Linked DNA regions of Ovis aries. The protein of the gene in region 2 interacts with the protein of the main gene of each other region in a biochemical or structural test. Links are inferred from orthologs where the notes say so. Each region holds a gene or a part of one and is shown on either strand. Other genes may lie near its edges.

What was found.
Region 1: the proteins of EZR (region 2) and ICAM3 form a complex in vitro, tested with the Homo sapiens proteins (2 studies listed by BioGRID). The link is inferred for Ovis aries from reciprocal best matches to the Homo sapiens genes EZR and ICAM3.
Region 3: the proteins of EZR (region 2) and NHERF1 form a complex in vitro, tested with the Homo sapiens proteins (2 studies listed by BioGRID and IntAct). The link is inferred for Ovis aries from reciprocal best matches to the Homo sapiens genes EZR and NHERF1.

What each region holds. Positions count from the first base shown.
Region 1 is NC_056058.1:12,720,700-12,726,323, reverse strand, and holds the start of ICAM3 (intercellular adhesion molecule 3), read left to right. Parts: upstream 1-1,733; 5' UTR 1,734-2,010; coding exon 2,011-2,092; intron 2,093-2,923; coding exon 2,924-3,190; intron 3,191-5,624. UniProt on the Homo sapiens protein: ICAM proteins are ligands for the leukocyte adhesion protein LFA-1 (integrin alpha-L/beta-2). ICAM3 is also a ligand for integrin alpha-D/beta-2. In association with integrin alpha-L/beta-2, contributes to apoptotic neutrophil phagocytosis by macrophages.
Region 2 is NC_056061.1:82,935,857-82,941,427, reverse strand, and holds the start of EZR (ezrin), read left to right. Parts: upstream 1-2,030; 5' UTR 2,031-2,286; intron 2,287-2,478; exon of another isoform or gene 2,479-2,641; intron 2,642-3,523; 5' UTR 3,524-3,599; coding exon 3,600-3,611; intron 3,612-5,571. UniProt on the Homo sapiens protein: Probably involved in connections of major cytoskeletal structures to the plasma membrane. In epithelial cells, required for the formation of microvilli and membrane ruffles on the apical pole. Along with PLEKHG6, required for normal macropinocytosis.
Region 3 is NC_056064.1:55,965,087-55,970,186, reverse strand, and holds the end of NHERF1 (Na(+)/H(+) exchange regulatory cofactor NHE-RF1), read left to right. Parts: intron 1-2,215; coding exon 2,216-2,256; intron 2,257-3,361; coding exon 3,362-3,451; intron 3,452-3,643; coding exon 3,644-3,838; 3' UTR 3,839-4,521; downstream 4,522-5,100. UniProt on the Homo sapiens protein: Scaffold protein that connects plasma membrane proteins with members of the ezrin/moesin/radixin family and thereby helps to link them to the actin cytoskeleton and to regulate their surface expression. Necessary for recycling of internalized ADRB2.

The DNA.
Region 1 (5,624 bases), on a different chromosome or scaffold from region 2:
TGGAAGTGCTATCTCACTGTGGTTTTGATTTGCATTTCCCTAGTGGCTCGTGATGTCGAGCATCTTTTTTCATGTCTATTGGCCATTTGTATAGCTTCTTTGGAGATCTACTTGAGTCCTTTGCCCATTTTTTATTTTTTAAAAAATATTTATTTGGCTGCACCGGATTTTAGCTGTGACATGCAGGGTCTTTTCATTGCAGCATGTGGGATCTAGTTCCCTGACCAGCGATAGAACCTGGGCCCCTGCATTGGGAGCGTGGAGTCTCAACTACTGGACCACCAGGGAAGTCCCCTTTGCCCATTTTTGAATTGAGTTTGTCATGGTTGAGTTGCAGGAATTCCTTACAATCTAGATATTAATCCCTTATCAGATATATGATTTGCAAATTCTTTTGATTTGGGTGTTAGTTTCTCTCTTGGCACCATGTAGGAAGTGGACTTTTGCAGAGGCGGGGCAAGGGAGGAGAGATTTAACTGGGGCAGGAACTCCAGGTGAGAAGGGGGCGTGGCCTCAAGGATGGGGCAAGTGGATGAACCCTGAGTGCTATCAAGGTCCTCAAGGAGGTCCCTCTCTGGAGCTCAGATCAGAGGCACGGGAGGCAGGTCACAGGCCTGAGAGAGGGAGCTGATGGAGTAGGAGTGCCCACCTCTCTCTCTCTCTTTCTCACTCACACACACACACACACACACACACACACACACACACACGTGTCCCTTCTCTTGGGATGAGGAGACCAGCTACCTGGAGGAAAAGGGCAAGAGGGATGAAGACAGGGATAAGAACTCAGTTGAAAGTATCCCCCTTGGCAGACGGTGGCTCAAGATTTAGCTGTCCCTGAAACGCTCCACCTCAGCACCGCATGCAAGCAATGGGAGAGCACCCGGAGATCTTCAAAGACTTGTTGTTCAGTCACTCAGTCGTGTCTGACTCTGTGACTCCTTGGACTGCAGCATGCCAGGCTCCTCTGTCCTTCCCTGTCTCCCAGAGTTGGCTCAAATTCATGTTCATTGAGTTGGTGATGCTATCTAACCACTTCATCCTCTGCCGCCCCCTTCTCCTGCCTTCAGTCTTGCCCAGCATCAAGGTCTTTTCCAATGAGTTGGCTCTTCACATTAGGTAGCCAAAGTATCGGAGCTTCAGCATCATTCCTTCCAATGAATATTCAGGGTTGATTTCCTTTAGATTGACTGGTTTGATCTCCTTGCAGTCCACGGGACTCTCAAGAGTCTTCTCCAACACCGCAGTTTGAAAGCATCAATTCTTCTGCACTCAGCCTCCTTTATGGTCCAATCCTCACATCTGTACATGACAACTGGAAACATAAGGAGCCTATAGAAGTCACTCTGGCAGCCAACAGAGAGCCCGGCACAAGTCCCCAGTAAATGTGGGCTCTGTTCACTGTCACAGTTTTACTCATCATAGGGGATCCTTCATTGTCACCCCCCCCCCAAATCGTTTATTTGCCTCCCAGGAACGTTGAGATCTCTTGTTAACTCTTTGAAGCCCTGCCCAGAAGTCTGCCCATTGTTCCCTCCTTGAAACGTCACCTCGAAATCCCACCCCTTTTCCTTCAAGGCCAGTGTGCAGATATCCCCATTAACTTCCTCTTTGGGAACAAAACAGCCTTTTTCACCTAAGTTCAACAGGAAGGGGAGATGTCTTTCACCCCTGCCCCCCTCCAGGCTTTCCAGTACTGAGAAAAAAGGAAGCTGCTTGCACTAGCGCTTCCTGTGGGTTGATCTGGGGACAAGGAGTGTAACCGAGGTTTGCCCTCTGAGACTCCTAGGAGACTCGCCAGCACGCTCCATTTTCCTGAGACCCTCACTGTGGACTCCCAGGGGGTGGCATAAAATATTCCCCTACCCTTCCCTCATCCTGGGCAAGGTGTGGCCCCTGGACTGCTGCATTCTTAGCTGCAGTGACGGTTCTTCCTTCCCCTGGAGGTCCTGCCTGTTCACCGGTGCACAGCTCTTCATTAAGGGAACTTCCGCCTCCAGGCTGAGCACCATGATGCCCTCAGGGCCACCGCCCAGGGTCTACTGGACTTCGCTCATCTTTCTGCTTCTTGCCTGCTGTCAGTTGCCCACAGGTGAGGCCCAGTGAGCTGGGGAGGGCTGGAGATGGGGGGTTGCTGGGGAGGGGAAGGAGAACAGTGCACCTCACACCCTGCTGCCCAGGGCTGCGGCAACACTTCTTTGACTCAGATCTGTCAGGGGGCTTCCCAGTATCCTTGGGGAAAAATGGTGGCTCCTTAACTCAGCCTTCAGGGCTCCCTGAGGCCAGGTTCCTGCCTTTCACTTGTTCCCTGCCCCCTTCACAGCATAGACACTTACCCACCCAAACACTCAAGTGAAAGTGAAAGTGAAGTCGCTCAGTTGTGTCCGACTCTTTGCAACCCTGTGGATTGTGGCCTACCAAGTTGCTCCAACCATGGGATTCTCCAGGCAAGAATACTGGAGTGGGTTGCCATTTCCTTCTCCAGGAGATCTTCCCAACCCAGGGATTGAACCCGGGTCTCCCGCACTGCAGGCAGACGCTTTACCATCTGAGCCACCACTCATGCCTGCACTTATTCGCTCCCTGCTCCATCCGGACTCATGACCTCTGCCTATGTTCTTCAGTCTGCCAGGATCCCTCTTGCCTTTCACTTGGCTAAATCCTCCTTGACCCTTTAAAAGAGACCGTAGTGGTTCCCTCCAGGAACCCTTTCCTGACTCACTTCCTCCTGGCCTCCTTCTCAACTCTCCTTGGTTCCTGATCCATCATCTGTCTTTCCCACTAAACTGAAACACCGCCGAAGGCAGAGACCTTCCTATCTTGGCTGGTGGGAGTGGGGGGGGGGGTGGCGTTGAAGGATGGAACCTGCAGCTGGGTGGGCTGGGGGGCACTGGAGCCCCCAGCAGAGACTCTGTTCATGCAGGTGCCCAGGGACAGACGTACCAGTTACGAGTGGAACCGAAGGACCCAGTGGTGCCTTTTGGAAAGCCCCTTGTGGTAAACTGCAGCTTAGATTGCCCCAGCCCTGGATTAATCTCCCTGGAGACAGCCCTCTCCAAGGAGCACCACAGCAGGGGCCTGGGCTGGGCAGCCTTCCGCCTCACCAACGTGACTGGTGACACAGAGCTTCTCTGCTCTGGCCTCTGCGATAAGTCCCAGGTGGTGGGTTTCTCTAAAATCACAGTGTATGGTGAGTAGGCGTGGCTGGAGGTGGGATGGCCTTGGGCAGTGGTGGGGGTAGATGACCAATGGTGCAGAGGAGCAAGGTGGGGCTGGGGCCCTGAATTTGCACAAATGGACCAGGACACTCAGTCAGAGCTCAGAACTGGGGGTGTGTGTGTGAGAGAGAGAGAGAGACAAAGTCAGAGATAGAGGGGTACATCTCAACTGCATGCCAAAGCAGCAGCTGTGAAACCAACTCCTTTGGTTCTCAATAAGCATTTTGTATGTGTGCATGCATGCTAAGTTGCCTCAGTCATGTCCAACTCTTTGTGATCCCATGGACTGTAGCCCGCCAGGCTCCTCTGTCCATGGGATTCTCCAGACAAGAGTACTGGAGTGGGTTGCTGTGCTCTCCTCCAGGGGAATCTTCCTGACCCAGGGATCCAACCTGCATTTCTTGAGTCTCTGGTATTGGCAGGTGGGTTCTTTACCACTAGTGCCACCTGGGAAGCCCAATAAGCATTTTAAAAATGATAGTTCAGGAATTCCTTGGTGGTCCAGTGGTTAGGACTCCAGGCTTTCACTGCCAAGGGCCTGGGTTCAATCTCTAGTCAAGGAACTAAAACCATGGAACACTCTCAGTATGGCCAAAAAAAAGGACATGTCTTTTACTCAATTTTTAAAATTTATTTTAATATAGTTATTTATTTATCTTGTTTGGCTGTTAGGTCTTAGTTGCAGCCCACGGGATCTTTCTTCGTGGTGCACAGACTCTAACTGTGGCACGTGGGCTTCAGCAGTTGTGACATGCGGGCTCTGGAGCGCATGTGGCTCTCGGGCTTCGTTGCTCTGTGGCATAGGGAATTTTAGTTCCCCAACCAGGGATTGACCTCGTGTCCCCTGAATTGCAAGGCAGATTCTTAACCACTGGACTACCAAGGAAGTCCCTACTTTTTCTTTTTTGTGTGTGTATTTACTTATTTATTTGGCTGCACTGGGTCTTAGTTGTGGCAGGCAGGAGGTAGGACCTAGTTCCCTGACCGGGGATTGAACCCCTGTGCATTGGGAGGATGGAGTCTTAGCCACTGGACCACCAGGGAAATCCCTTACTGCTTTTATTTTTATGACAGGTAATAAATTCATGTGGTTCCCAAATTTTAAAGTATTTAAAAAAAAGGGGGGGTCAGTGTCAAGTCTCCATTTACCTAGTGTGGGCTGTGAGTGGCTGTTGTTTTTAGTGTGGACGCATAGGTGCTCACCCAAAAGCCCTTATGAAAGCCTGGGCTGGGGAGGTACACTTATGAGCCTCATTTCACAGAGAGGAAACTGAGGCTCAGTCACTTGCCAGGGTCCGTGAGCAGAGATGCCTGGAGTCCAGGTCTCAAATCCCTGCTCTTCACAGCTGAAGTCTTCCTCTCTGGACCTGATATCCCCCTGTTACCAGTTTCTTATGAATCCTTCCAGTTTCTCTGCATTTAAAAGAAGACAGGGAGTTCCTTTGCTGTCCAGTGGTTAGGACTCAGCACTTTCACTGCTGAAGGTCCAAGGTTCAGTCCCTGGTCGGGGAACTAAGATCCCACAAGCCACTTGGTGCAGCCAAAAATAAACAAACAAAAGAACCCAATAGACTAGGAAATAGCTGAGTACATCACTCAGGGTGCCTATGGTTTTGTGAGGCCTCAGAAAAGTGTAGTGTATATCTGTAGCTGTGTGTATGCTCTTCCTGTGTGTGCACCAGTGTCTGTATTCATGGTTGTGTACCTATATGCCTGTGAGCATGTGGATCTGAGTGTCCTTATCTTTGTGTGAGTGTACTTGTATGTCTACAAATGTGTTTGTATGCTGTGTGTGCCTGCGTGTGTCTCTGGACTTGTACCTTTTAAAAATAACCTTAATTAATTAATTTATTTATTTTTGGCTGGGCTGGGTCTGCATTGCTTCAAAAGCTTTTCTCTCGTTGTGGTGAGCAGGCCTATTCTCTGGTTGGAGTGCTCGGGCTTCTCATGGCTTCTCTTGTTGCAGAGCCCAGGCTCTAGGGTGCACAGGCTTCCGTAGTTGTAGCTTGCAGGCTCTGGAGCACAGACTCAGTAGTTGCAGTGCACAGGTTTAGCTGCTCCTTGGCATGTGGGATCTTCCCGGATCAGGGATCGAACCCATGTCTCCTGTATTGGCAGGTGGATTCTTTACCACAGAGCCACCAGGGAAGCCCCTGGATTTGTATCTCTGTGTGTGTCTGCATATGTGTGTCGGTATCTGTGCCCGCGTGTATATCTATGTGAGTACGTCTGTTTCTGAGCATGTGTGGATGTCTGGGCCAGTATGTGTCTATATGTATATTTGTGTGTATTTCTGCACATTTGCCTATGTGTGTATCTGGGTATCCCCGTCTGTGTGACTGTGAGATAGATGCCTCTGTCCAGTGCTGTGCAGGAGCCTATTTGTCCTGGCTCACAAGAGCCCAG
Region 2 (5,571 bases):
TTTTTAAATTGAAATATAGTTGATTTACAAAGTACTATTTTAACTTATGCCATAAAATTATACCTACAAGTTGCCTTTGAGTTAGTTGAATGCTCACATTGTATGACTCAGGGACACAAGAACACTATGAAATAAACATCTCCAGCCTACAGACGGAGAGGTGGGAGCTCGGTCAGGTTAAGAGATTTGCCCAAAATGACCAGCTTGTGAGTTGGAACCAGGATTGACTTAGCTCTGTGTGCTTCTAAAACCTGTGATCTTTTTTCATTTTTACAACACTGCCACAGGTCAGTTCATTTCTTAGTATTCCCCTGAAGGGTAAAGTGTAGAAATGCTCCAGAAGGTATTAGGCTACTGCAATTTCAAACATCCAGTTAAAATAAAATACTGTAACCTGGGTGAGATAAAAAAAAAAAATTAGAGGCATATCCTATCAGTATAGTTGGGGACCAAAAATGACTAACAAGGCTCCAGGCAGTGATAAGACTTGGAGATAGAGCATGGGAGGAATGACATGTCCAACCTGAAGTTTTATCACTAGAAGGTTAAATACCTTTCAGTTACCTTACTAATGCAGTTCCCTTTACATTTTTACTTCTTAAAAGTTCCTTTTTCAGAGGGAACAGACCTGCCCAAATTGAGGACCAAATCTCAAAAAAGGCCTCCCTACTCACCTGGATGTCTGAAATGCCCTGGACCTGCAGCTAGGGGTGGGGTGGGGGTAGGGGTCATAGGAGACAAGGGCTATCCCTAAAGCAGTCCATCCCAAAGAGAGGATAGGCATTAAGAGGCCAGGATGGTGCTAAACACTTTGCACACATTACCTCATTCAATTCCTACAACCCCATGAAGTGGGTCCTACTAGTATCTCTATCCTGCTGCTAAGTCGCTTCAGTCGTGTCCCACTCTGGGCGACCCCATAGACGGCAGCCGACCAGGCTCCCGCGTCCCTGGGATTCTCCAGGCAAGAACACTGGAGTGGGTTGCCATTTCCTTCTCCAATGCATGAAAGTGAAAAATGAAAGTGAAGTCGCTCAGTTGTGTCTGACTCTTCACAACCCCATGGACTGCAGCCTATCAGGCTCTTCCGCCCATGGGATTTTCCAGGCAGGAGTTCTGGAGTGGGGTGCCATCACCTAAGAGACTCTTACCGTTTAGTGCTTGCCCAGAGTCACTAGTTGCTCTCTGTGCCAGGGCAGATTTGCACTCTTATTGTGTTTCAGGCACTCTTCTAGGCATCTTACATGTATCCACTCATTGTTGTTGTGCTAGTCACTCAGTGGTGTCCAGCTCTTTGTGACCCCAAGGACTAGAGCCCATCAGGCTCCTTTGTCTATGAAATTCTCCAGGCCAGACTACTGGAGTGGGTTGCCATTCCCTTCTCCAGGGGATCTTCCTGACCCAGGGATGGAATGTGGGTCTCACCGTCTGAACCACTAGGGAAGTCCTTGACTCCTTAAATCCTCATAACAACTCTATGAAATAGGTGCCATAATTATGCCATTTTACAGATGTTAAAGTGTTAAATAACTTATTCAACTCAAATAGGGAGTTAGACCAGGAAAGGAATTCAGGAAAATTTCTGGCCTCAACCCTTAGCCTACATCACAATCACCTGGAGGGCTTTAAGATTCCGACTTTGGGCCCCAAGCGGAGAGTTTCTAATTCTGTAGGTTTTGGGAAGTACTTGTGAATTTCTATTTCTTCAAGTTCCCAGGTGATGCTGTTATTGCTAGTCTGGGAAGCAGGCTTTGAGAACCAGTGCTCTCGTTAGCTCTCTTAATCGCTGCGCAACAAATACCAATGGCCACCAAAGTCCGTGTCTGTGTTTAATTCCTTTTGAGAACCATTTGCAAAAACAAAATTAAAAAAATAATTCCCAGAATTTCTAAGGAGATTTATTCTCTGTCCCCCTCCCCCCCTTAAACTTTGAGTTAATCAAGTCAAATGAGGCCACAAGTGTGTCCTTTAACCAAGAGCGCTGGGCTATGGAGCGCCTTTTAATACTTGTGCCCATCATCGCGGAATCCGAGGGAGGAGGCGGCCACGTGCGCGGGGAGACACAGCGGCCCAGGTCCCCGGTTCTCAAAAAATATCCCGTCTCGGCCCCGGGGGCGAGGACGACAAAATGACCTGACCACGGGGACGGCCGCACCCCTAGAGGCCCCGCTCCTCCGTGGTGGCAGCCTGCCGGCCCCTGCAGTCTTATTTACACGTCCCTCCGCTCCCTCAGCCCACCGCGGGACGATCTCGCACCTCTCCTCCACCCTCGGGAGCTGAGTCAAGGTCAGCAAAGTTCTCCGAAGGCGAGGGGAAGGACAGAGAAGGGTTGAGGAGAGGTCTTTCCGAGGGTGGGGGAGGTGGGGGAGGTGGGGGGCGCCCCCTCCCGGGGTCCCCGCGGCCATCTTCCCCGCGAGCCGCACCTCGCGGGCCGGGCGGGGCGGTCAGGGGCGCGGCCCCGGGGCCCCGCCCCGCCCCGGACTCTCGGGAGCGCGGGCCTCGGGCGCACTGCTCGGACGCACGGATCGCTTGGAGCGCAGCCGTCCTCTGCAAGAGCCGCGGGTGAGCGGGGCGCGGCCCGGGTCGGCGGGAGCGGGGTTCGCGCCGCGCGCTCGGCGGAGGGGCCGGAACAGGACGACAGGTGTGGCGGCGCGGGCAGCCCGGCCGAGGGGGCGGTAGGCGCGGGAGCCCAGGACCGGCGGGACCCTGGCGCGGCCCACACACGCGGCAGGTGGAGCCGAGGCTGCCCGCGTGGCCGCCGCGCGACCTCCCGCGCCACAGCCCGGCCCCTCGGGCCCCTATTCCGGAGCGCCGGCGGAGCCCGGGCTGCGTGGACGCGCCCCCGGGCCCCGCGCCCGCGTCCGGGCGGGGACCATTTTCACAAAGTATTTCTCAAAGGGTTGACGGTTGCGGTTTCAGCCCTAGGGTAAACGGTTGCTTCACAAAGTGAAACTCTCCGTCTTCTGGGATCCCGCGGGCTTCCGGGACGCCCCGAGGAGTTCCTCGGCGGACAGCCCCCCATTACCCCGGTTCCGGCCCGGCCCGGCCCCCTGCCTGCAGCCCAGACCCCTAGCCAGCAGCTGCCCCGCCCGGCCCCGCCCTTCCCCTCCTCTGTGCTCCCCGCCCCTGCCCTCCTCTGCCCTACCCTCCGCCCGGGCTCCGCGCCCCGCCCCCGGCGGGCCACGCCCCTGGCCACACCCCTCTCCTGAGCTCCTCCCCCCGGCGCCGCGCTCCCCACCGCCCGGGCCCCGCCCCGTGGTGCCTGGCCCCGCCCCGTGGTGCCTGGCCCCGCCTCGGCGCTCCCGCCCCCCGGCGCCGCGCCCCCCGCCACCCCCTCGGCGCTGGGCTCGCCCGGCCCGCGGTAATTGCAGGTTGGGCGGTGACTTATCGTGGCGCCCGCCCGGCCGGTTCTTAAGCGGCAGCGCGGGGCGGGCGCCGAGTCTCGGGGCGGCGGCAGCGGCGGGAGCTGTGGGATCGGTAGGAGGGCTGCTGGGCACGCTCACTGGGCTTCCTCCGCCTGCAGGTCGGGAAAGGGCGTTTCAGCTGCTGCTGGAGAGCGTGTTTCCAAGGAAGGCGAGGAAACCCGTCCGGAACCGAAAATGCCGAAACCGGTAAGTCCCTGGGTGTGTGTGGGCAAGGCGGGATGTGTTGAGCACGGTTTTCAAGCGGAGTTATCTGGGCAAGGTTTGGGGCTTTTTCGGGTTTTTTTGGGGGGGGGCGGAGGGAAGAATAGAGTTCTTTTCTAGGCGGACGAGAGGCCAGGAGCAGGGAGGGGATCGTCTCCTCTCTTTCTCCCTCGTCATCCCTTAGTGGAACTCTTGGAGAAAACAAGATTGCGATGCTTTTTTCTCTACGGTCCTTTTGTTTGCGAGCCCCCTCCGCCGCCGAGCCTTGGGGGTTAGGATCTTTGAGAAAAATCAGAATGCCTTTTAGGCGGCTTCGGACGGTGGAAAAGCCCTGTCCTAAGACAACCTGGAAGTTTCTTTCCTGAAGAGGAGCCTGAGTCGCAGGAGAGGCAGGTGGCTTCCCACGGCGCGCGCCCGCTGCCTTCCCGGGTCTGGGAGCAGGCGCGCCCCAACTCCTCCCCTGGCGCTCTCTTTTAAAGGGGGGGGGTGGGGGGCACTCTCTCTGGGGGCAGCCTCGTTCCAGTTCATCCTACTGAAGCCGTGCTCTGTTAACCCGGGAATTTGCTGGTGACAGCAGGATTCCTATTTCGGAGAGGGCTTTGGTAATGAACTTGAATTGCAGATGAAGGCAGGCAGCCCTGGAGTTTGATAAGCAGGCTCCTGGCGCACCTCCGAAACATCAGCTGACCCCCTAGCGCTGCTGCGCCCGCACCTCTTACACCCACTTTCCCCGAATCTGATTTGTGTCGCCTGAATCTCTCTCGGGTGGGATGGTGGCCAGCCTGGGCTTCACACGGCTTTCATTTAAGTTGGGCGAACAAGGCAGCTTTTTTGTGAGCAGCATTTCTTAGCAAGTGGTATCTGTTCTACCAGCTTGAACACAGGTGAACTGGTGACCAGATAATTGGGGAGGAGATAATTGAAGATTTTTGGAGTTTTGAATCCCAGTGGCGAGAATATCTGGATTCATTGAAAATTACAATAAAAGATTCCTATGAAAATACACCCCATACATAAAATACATAACTTCATATACCTATGGAGTTTATGAGAAACCTTCTAGTTTTTCAAACGAGTTGTTTCTGTAGTGAGTGCTTATGTGTTTTGTTTTCTACCATCACATTTTAGATTCTCTGAAAGGAGTACTTTATAAGTTTTGTTTTACTGTTAGGTTAAATAAATTACTACCTTCATAGGCTAACAGATTGAGAAGCCAGTAGAGCTTTCGCCTCAGTTACATCATCAAGATGATTCATTCACGATGCAGACAGTTTTTTTTTCCTACACTGAATTCTTCTTTTCATTTCCAGTTGGTAGTTGGCACATGACCTTCAGGCTTTACAGTTCCTGTGGTATAAAACGGACCTAAACATAGTGCTTTACTCAGGGCATAGCCCTGTTCTGGTTTACTCAGAGCAGTGATTAGGAACTTAACCTTTCCCGGTGTGTGGCTTTCACTAAAGAAATGATGTTGAGAGTTCAGCTTTTAAAATATCGCTCAGATAACAGTCGGTATCCCTGTCTCCTGTCAGTCACTACTTTTGTTTCTCATAAAGATCTGTAATTTGCTTTTGTTCTTTTTCTGGCGTTCGTGTTTTTTTGGTTTGTTTTTTGGTAGTGGAGTTCACATGACGTGCACTTGACCATCTCAGTGTTTTTTAAGCGTATAGTTGAGTGGCGTTAAGTACGTGCACATTGCCGTGCAGTGGTCACCACCGTGCACCTCCAGAACTTTTTCCTCGTCCCAAACTGTGCCCTTTAAACACTAACTTCCTTCTCCCCACTCCCTCCAGCCCCTGGCAGCCGGCCCTCTCCTTTCTGTCTCTCTGCCTTTGACTCCTCTCGGTGTCCCACATGAGTGAGATATGCACAGCGTTTGTCCTCCTGTAACTGGCTCACTCCACTTAGCACGATGTCCGCAGAGTCCACCCTTGTGCCATGTGTG
Region 3 (5,100 bases), on a different chromosome or scaffold from region 2:
CGGCTTCCAGCCTTGGCTTGGTCAGATCAGAGTCCAGTGACAGGGGCCCAGTGCCTCCCCTTCCCTTCTCTCAGGTTGTCTTGGAAACCCAGGCTTGCTGGCTCCAGAGAGCGGTGGGTCCCTGGGCCCCTGCCCTCCCTGCCACTCCATCACCCTGCCAAGCCTGGCACCTCCCCCGCCCTGGCCCAAGCCAAACGGGGCAGCCACAGCCCAGGGCAAGGAGGAGCTGAGCCGTGCTCTGCTCCCTGGTCTGGACCTTCTCCCTGGGAAGATGAAGACAGCTCCCGAGGGGGTGGGAGGCGCTAGGTGGAACCTCTTTGGACTGTGCAGTGGGTGGGGCTTCCTTGAGGGTCAGATGTGGAGCACAGGGGTCCACACAGAGGTCTTGCCACAAATTCAGATCGCCAGCTTGGTGGGGCCCAGTGGGTCCTGGGGGTATCCTGGAAGCCACTAGCAGACTCCAGTCATGGGAGGTGGGTACCACTGTGCCCTTGTCTCCCAAGTTCATGGAAAGCAGGTAAGTCTGATAATCCCCATCCTCACTAGGGGGAAAGCTGTGGCCCCGAGAAGCCCCCAGCCTTGCTCTTGGCAGTGTGGTGTGGGAAAGGGAAAGTGCTAGTCGCTCAGTCCCACCTGACTGTGGTCTGTAGCCCACGAGGCTTGTCTGTCTGTGGAGTTCAAGGGCATGGGTCACCATGCCCTTCTCCAGGGGATCTTCCTGACCCAGAGATGGAACCCAGGTCTCCTGCATTGGCAGGCAGATTTCCTACCCCTGAGCCACCAGGGAGGACCCAGTGTGGGAAGACAGCTGAAATCTGGACTCCACTTGGCTGCTCCTCTACCTTCCCCTGACTCCCCCAGCACCCTTCTCCCCCGACTCCCAAGTCATCAACCCTCTCTCTTCCTGGCTGGGGAGGAAGGGCCCTGGGAACCTCCATGACTGCAGCCTCTGATCAGAGGGTGTTCCCCCTCCCAAGTGCATGTAAGTCTGCGCGTCCCCAGCCACTGCCTCCTGCCCAAAGCTGGGCAGCCCACGGCTCACAGGTGAGCGGGTGCAGTGGAGGGTGAGTCAGGGTCCCTGTGTCCCCTGCCCAGCCACTGTGGGAGGGCTGGACGAGAGGTGTGCCTGCCCAGTCCAGGGCAAGGAGAAAGACGTACCCTGACCTTAAGCTATGAGTTCAGAAGAAACCCACCCAGGCTGACCTGAGAGGGAATAGCCCCCTTTGCGGCCAGGTGGGGTGTCTACCCTGAGCAAGGCCTGGGAGGGTGACCCCAGGCCGTGTCCCTGCCCTCTGACCCCACCTGTCGCCACCAGGTTCCCCCTTGGCTGGGGGACGGCACGCCCAGGACTCTGCCCTGAGCCCTGGGGCCCCCTCCATCCCCACACTGGCCAGGAGGAGTTGGGGTTCTTTCGCAGCTGGTGCAGGTGATAATCATAACCAGGGCGTGGTCCCAGTTCTGTTGACACAACCATCACCTAGGAAGCATTCGAAAAATACTGATTCCTAGGCCTGTCCCAGACCCACGTAGATAAACACCTTGGTGTCAAAGCCCAGGGATCTGTATTTCTAACCAGCATCCCGGGTGGTTGGGAGGCAGCTGCCTGGAATTTCAACCCTGTCTACAACAGCGCTTTTTTCAAACAGCTCCTTACTCATCAGTGGTTCTTGGGATTAATTAAGTAGGCACCTTTCTTCCTTTTTTTTTTTTTTTCAACTTTTTATTTTGTATTGGAGTGTAGGCGATTAACAATGTTATAACAGTTTCAGGTGAACAGCTTAGGGGCTCAGCCATACATATACATGTATCCATTCTCTCCCAAACTCCCCTCCGGTCCAGGCTGCCGCGTAACACTGAGCAGAGTGCCCTGTGCTGTGCAGGAAGTTCCTGTCAGTTCTCCACTTTACATATGCAGTGCGCACATGTCCATCTCCAGCTCCCCAGCCGTCCCTCCCCCATCTTTTTAATCAATCTGAATAGGAAATATCAAAGAGCCTTGCGATGTAGTAAAGGCAAGTTGTTTTGTTAAATGCTAGTCTGAGGCTGCTGGGTTGCCAGAATGTCCGGTGTACTATAGTGGGGGGCAGTCAAGAGACTTAAACACTGAGCTTGGGGAACAAGGTCGAGTGGTCTACCCAAACCCACGACCCCCGCCTTCCGCGCCCCCCTCCGTCCACAGCTTCTGACTCACCTGCGCTCTCCTCTTCCCATCTAGGTCCCTTGCCTGAGCCCATTACCAACGGGGAGATCGAGAAGGTAAAGGCAGAGCCCTGATGCTTCTCGGGCTCAGTCCTGGGGCTGCGGGAGGTGGGGGAGGAGGCGTGGTTAGGAGGAGGACAGGGTCTGGTTCAGGTGGAAACCTCGTGTCTCCTGGCAGCTGTCTCCTGAGCCCCAGGCCGTGTAAGGGCCCCCGCTTGGGGCCGAGGCAGAGGGGACGGGGCCGCCTGGCCAGGCCCTCCGCAGCCACCATCCTGGGTGATGGGCCCCGCCTCCAGCTCCCCACCACACAGGAGGCCATTCTTCCCCCCAAGAACAGAGCGGCAGTGTCTGCCCGCCGCCTGCCCAGGCCCTGCTACTTCCAGTCTGGGTTGGGAGAACAAAGCCCCTCCTACCCAGGCCGAAGGGAAGAGGAGGCAGTGGGGGCCGGGGGAGAGATGGTGCAGCCCAGTGCCAGCTGGGGCCACAGGAACCCAGGCAGAAGCGGAGTGCCCAGTTGCAGCCCAAGGCCTGGGCTCTGGGACAGCGCCCTCAGGGTCAGACTATGGGGTGAGAGGGCTCCTCGGGGTCTGCTCTAAGGCTTCCTTTCCCTGGGGTCTCCTGCCGGGGTCGGGGGGTTGTGCAGCAAGAAGGCCCTGAACCACCTGAGCCTTCAGTCACTTTCCCTGTGGGTCTCTCACTCTCCCCCACCTTATTCCCTCGAAGCCCTTCTTGGCTGCTTGAGGGTTGATTTCAAGAATCCGGGGTCAAGTCCAAGAAAACAAGTCAGGTGGGCTGTAGGAGACTCAGGGGGCATCACGGGTGTTCCCCACACCGAGCAGTCTCCCGGCACCCCCACGCCCCAGGAGGCCCCTCTGTGGTCACTGTGCCAAGGAGGAGTCAACTCCAGAGGCTGCCTGGGAGGACAGGGGCGGTGTGAGCCACCCAGCTAGTCCCATGAGGGATGGTCCCACTGCCCTGGATGGTGGAACCTGGCTGCCCTCTGATCCTTGGAAGAATGTGAAAATGTAAATCCCCGCGGGGCCCTGGCAGGCTCAGGCAGGCTCTGGGGTGGATGGCAAGGCTCAGACCGAGGCCCCGTCTTCCCCGGGAATGCCCTTCGTAGCTCAGGCCTGCCCACCCACATGCCTCCTCTCCGTACCAGGAGAACAGTCCTGAAGCCCTGGCCGAGACGGCCTCCGAGAGCCCCGTGCCACCCCTGGCAAGAACCGCCTCCAGTGACACCAGCGAGGAGGTAAGGCTGGGTGGGTGGGGGGTGGCCCCGGGTGACAGCAAGTCAGGCGTCGCTCACTCCTGGCACACCAGCCCGCCGTGGAGGTCACACGCTGAGTCACGTTCTGTTCTCGTGACCTGGCTTCCCCACACATGGCCTCAAGGGAGCACTTCGCCGAGGCACTGAGGCCCGCTCTCTTGCTCCTCTTTGCAGCTGAATTCCCAAGACAGCCCCAAGAAACAGGACTCCACAGCACCCTCGTCTACCTCCTCCTCGTCCTCTGACCCCATCCTGGACTTCAACATCTCCCTGGCTGTGGCCAAAGAGAGGGCCCACCAGAAGCGCATCAGCAAACGGGCCCCGCAGATGGACTGGAGCAAGAAAAACGAACTCTTCAGCAACCTCTGAGCCACACCCCCTGCACCAGCAAAGCCCAGTCCCACACCCAGCCAACTCCCTCTCCCCCACTTACCCCCAGATCAGCACACAAATCAGCACCAGCATCTCCTCTCTCGGCAAATCTGATCTTTCTAGAGAACCATACTCTTCCCTTACCTCCGACAAGGTGACTGTTTTTCTGTCCTGCCCCAGTTAAAAAGCAGACTCTGTGCCCCTCCTCGCTGGGTGCTTCAGCCCACCTGCAGTCCCCCTGCCACTGTCCTGGGACGTCACTGGGACCTCCATCGAGCAAAGATCCTAAGACTGGGCGAGAGGTCACCTTCCCTCCTGACCCCAAGTGATGACCAGGTCTGGGATCTACCAGGGAAGGATTCTGACCACAGCAACATCCTGGAGTGGACTGGGGCCACCATCCTCAGAGCTGTGACTTGGGCATCTTATTTTTGATTTTTAAGTGCAGTACTACAGAGTTTAGAAGGACTTTCAATTCTTGATTAACATGATTTCCCAGGTTGTTGCATCCGGGACGTAGCAGTGGCCTTACCCTTCCTTCAACTTTTTTCTGCCCCACCCCCCACCCCCCCAGAGACCTAGGCAACATGGGGAGGGTTTGGCCACCCCCTGCCCAGCCCTGAGCCAGACACAATTGTAAGGAAATTCTTACCCGAAATTCAACTAGTTTCTCCAAACCACCTTGGCCTCTGTGTGTTCCTTTGCAGCTCTGTCCATGCGTGTCCCCAGAGTGGCCTCGGGCTGAGAGGATGGTCTAGGGCTCCCTAGGACCCCAAGCCCGGAGCCAGAAGTGGGGTGGCTTTAACCAGAGGGCCTTGAGCCTGTAGCCGCTGGGTGGCTAGGCCATGCGTGGGTCCTGTGGGAGGACCCGCCGGGGCCCCTGTGTGCTTGGCTCACTAGGGCTGCCCTACAGGGATGACCAGCAGGGAAATGGGGAGCTTAGGGCCCACGTGCGCAGAGGGAGGGCTCTAAGACCCACCTTGGATCCCAGGAGCGTTCAAAGAGTGAATCCACAATGGAGCCAGACTTGGAGACGGAAGGCTTGGCTTTAATCTTTCTGCCCACAGCCAGGGAGGTGCAGATGCCCAGGCATGGCCCAAGCTGGTGTCCCTAACCCCCCCAGATACTCTCATCTTACTTGGCTGTGGACCTGACTGGGGATGGGGAGGACAGACCTGGCCTGCTGGGCCCTGGGACATGCTTGTGGCAGGTGGGGTGGAAGGGACCTTCCAAGGCTGAAAGGCCCTGCTCCTCCACGG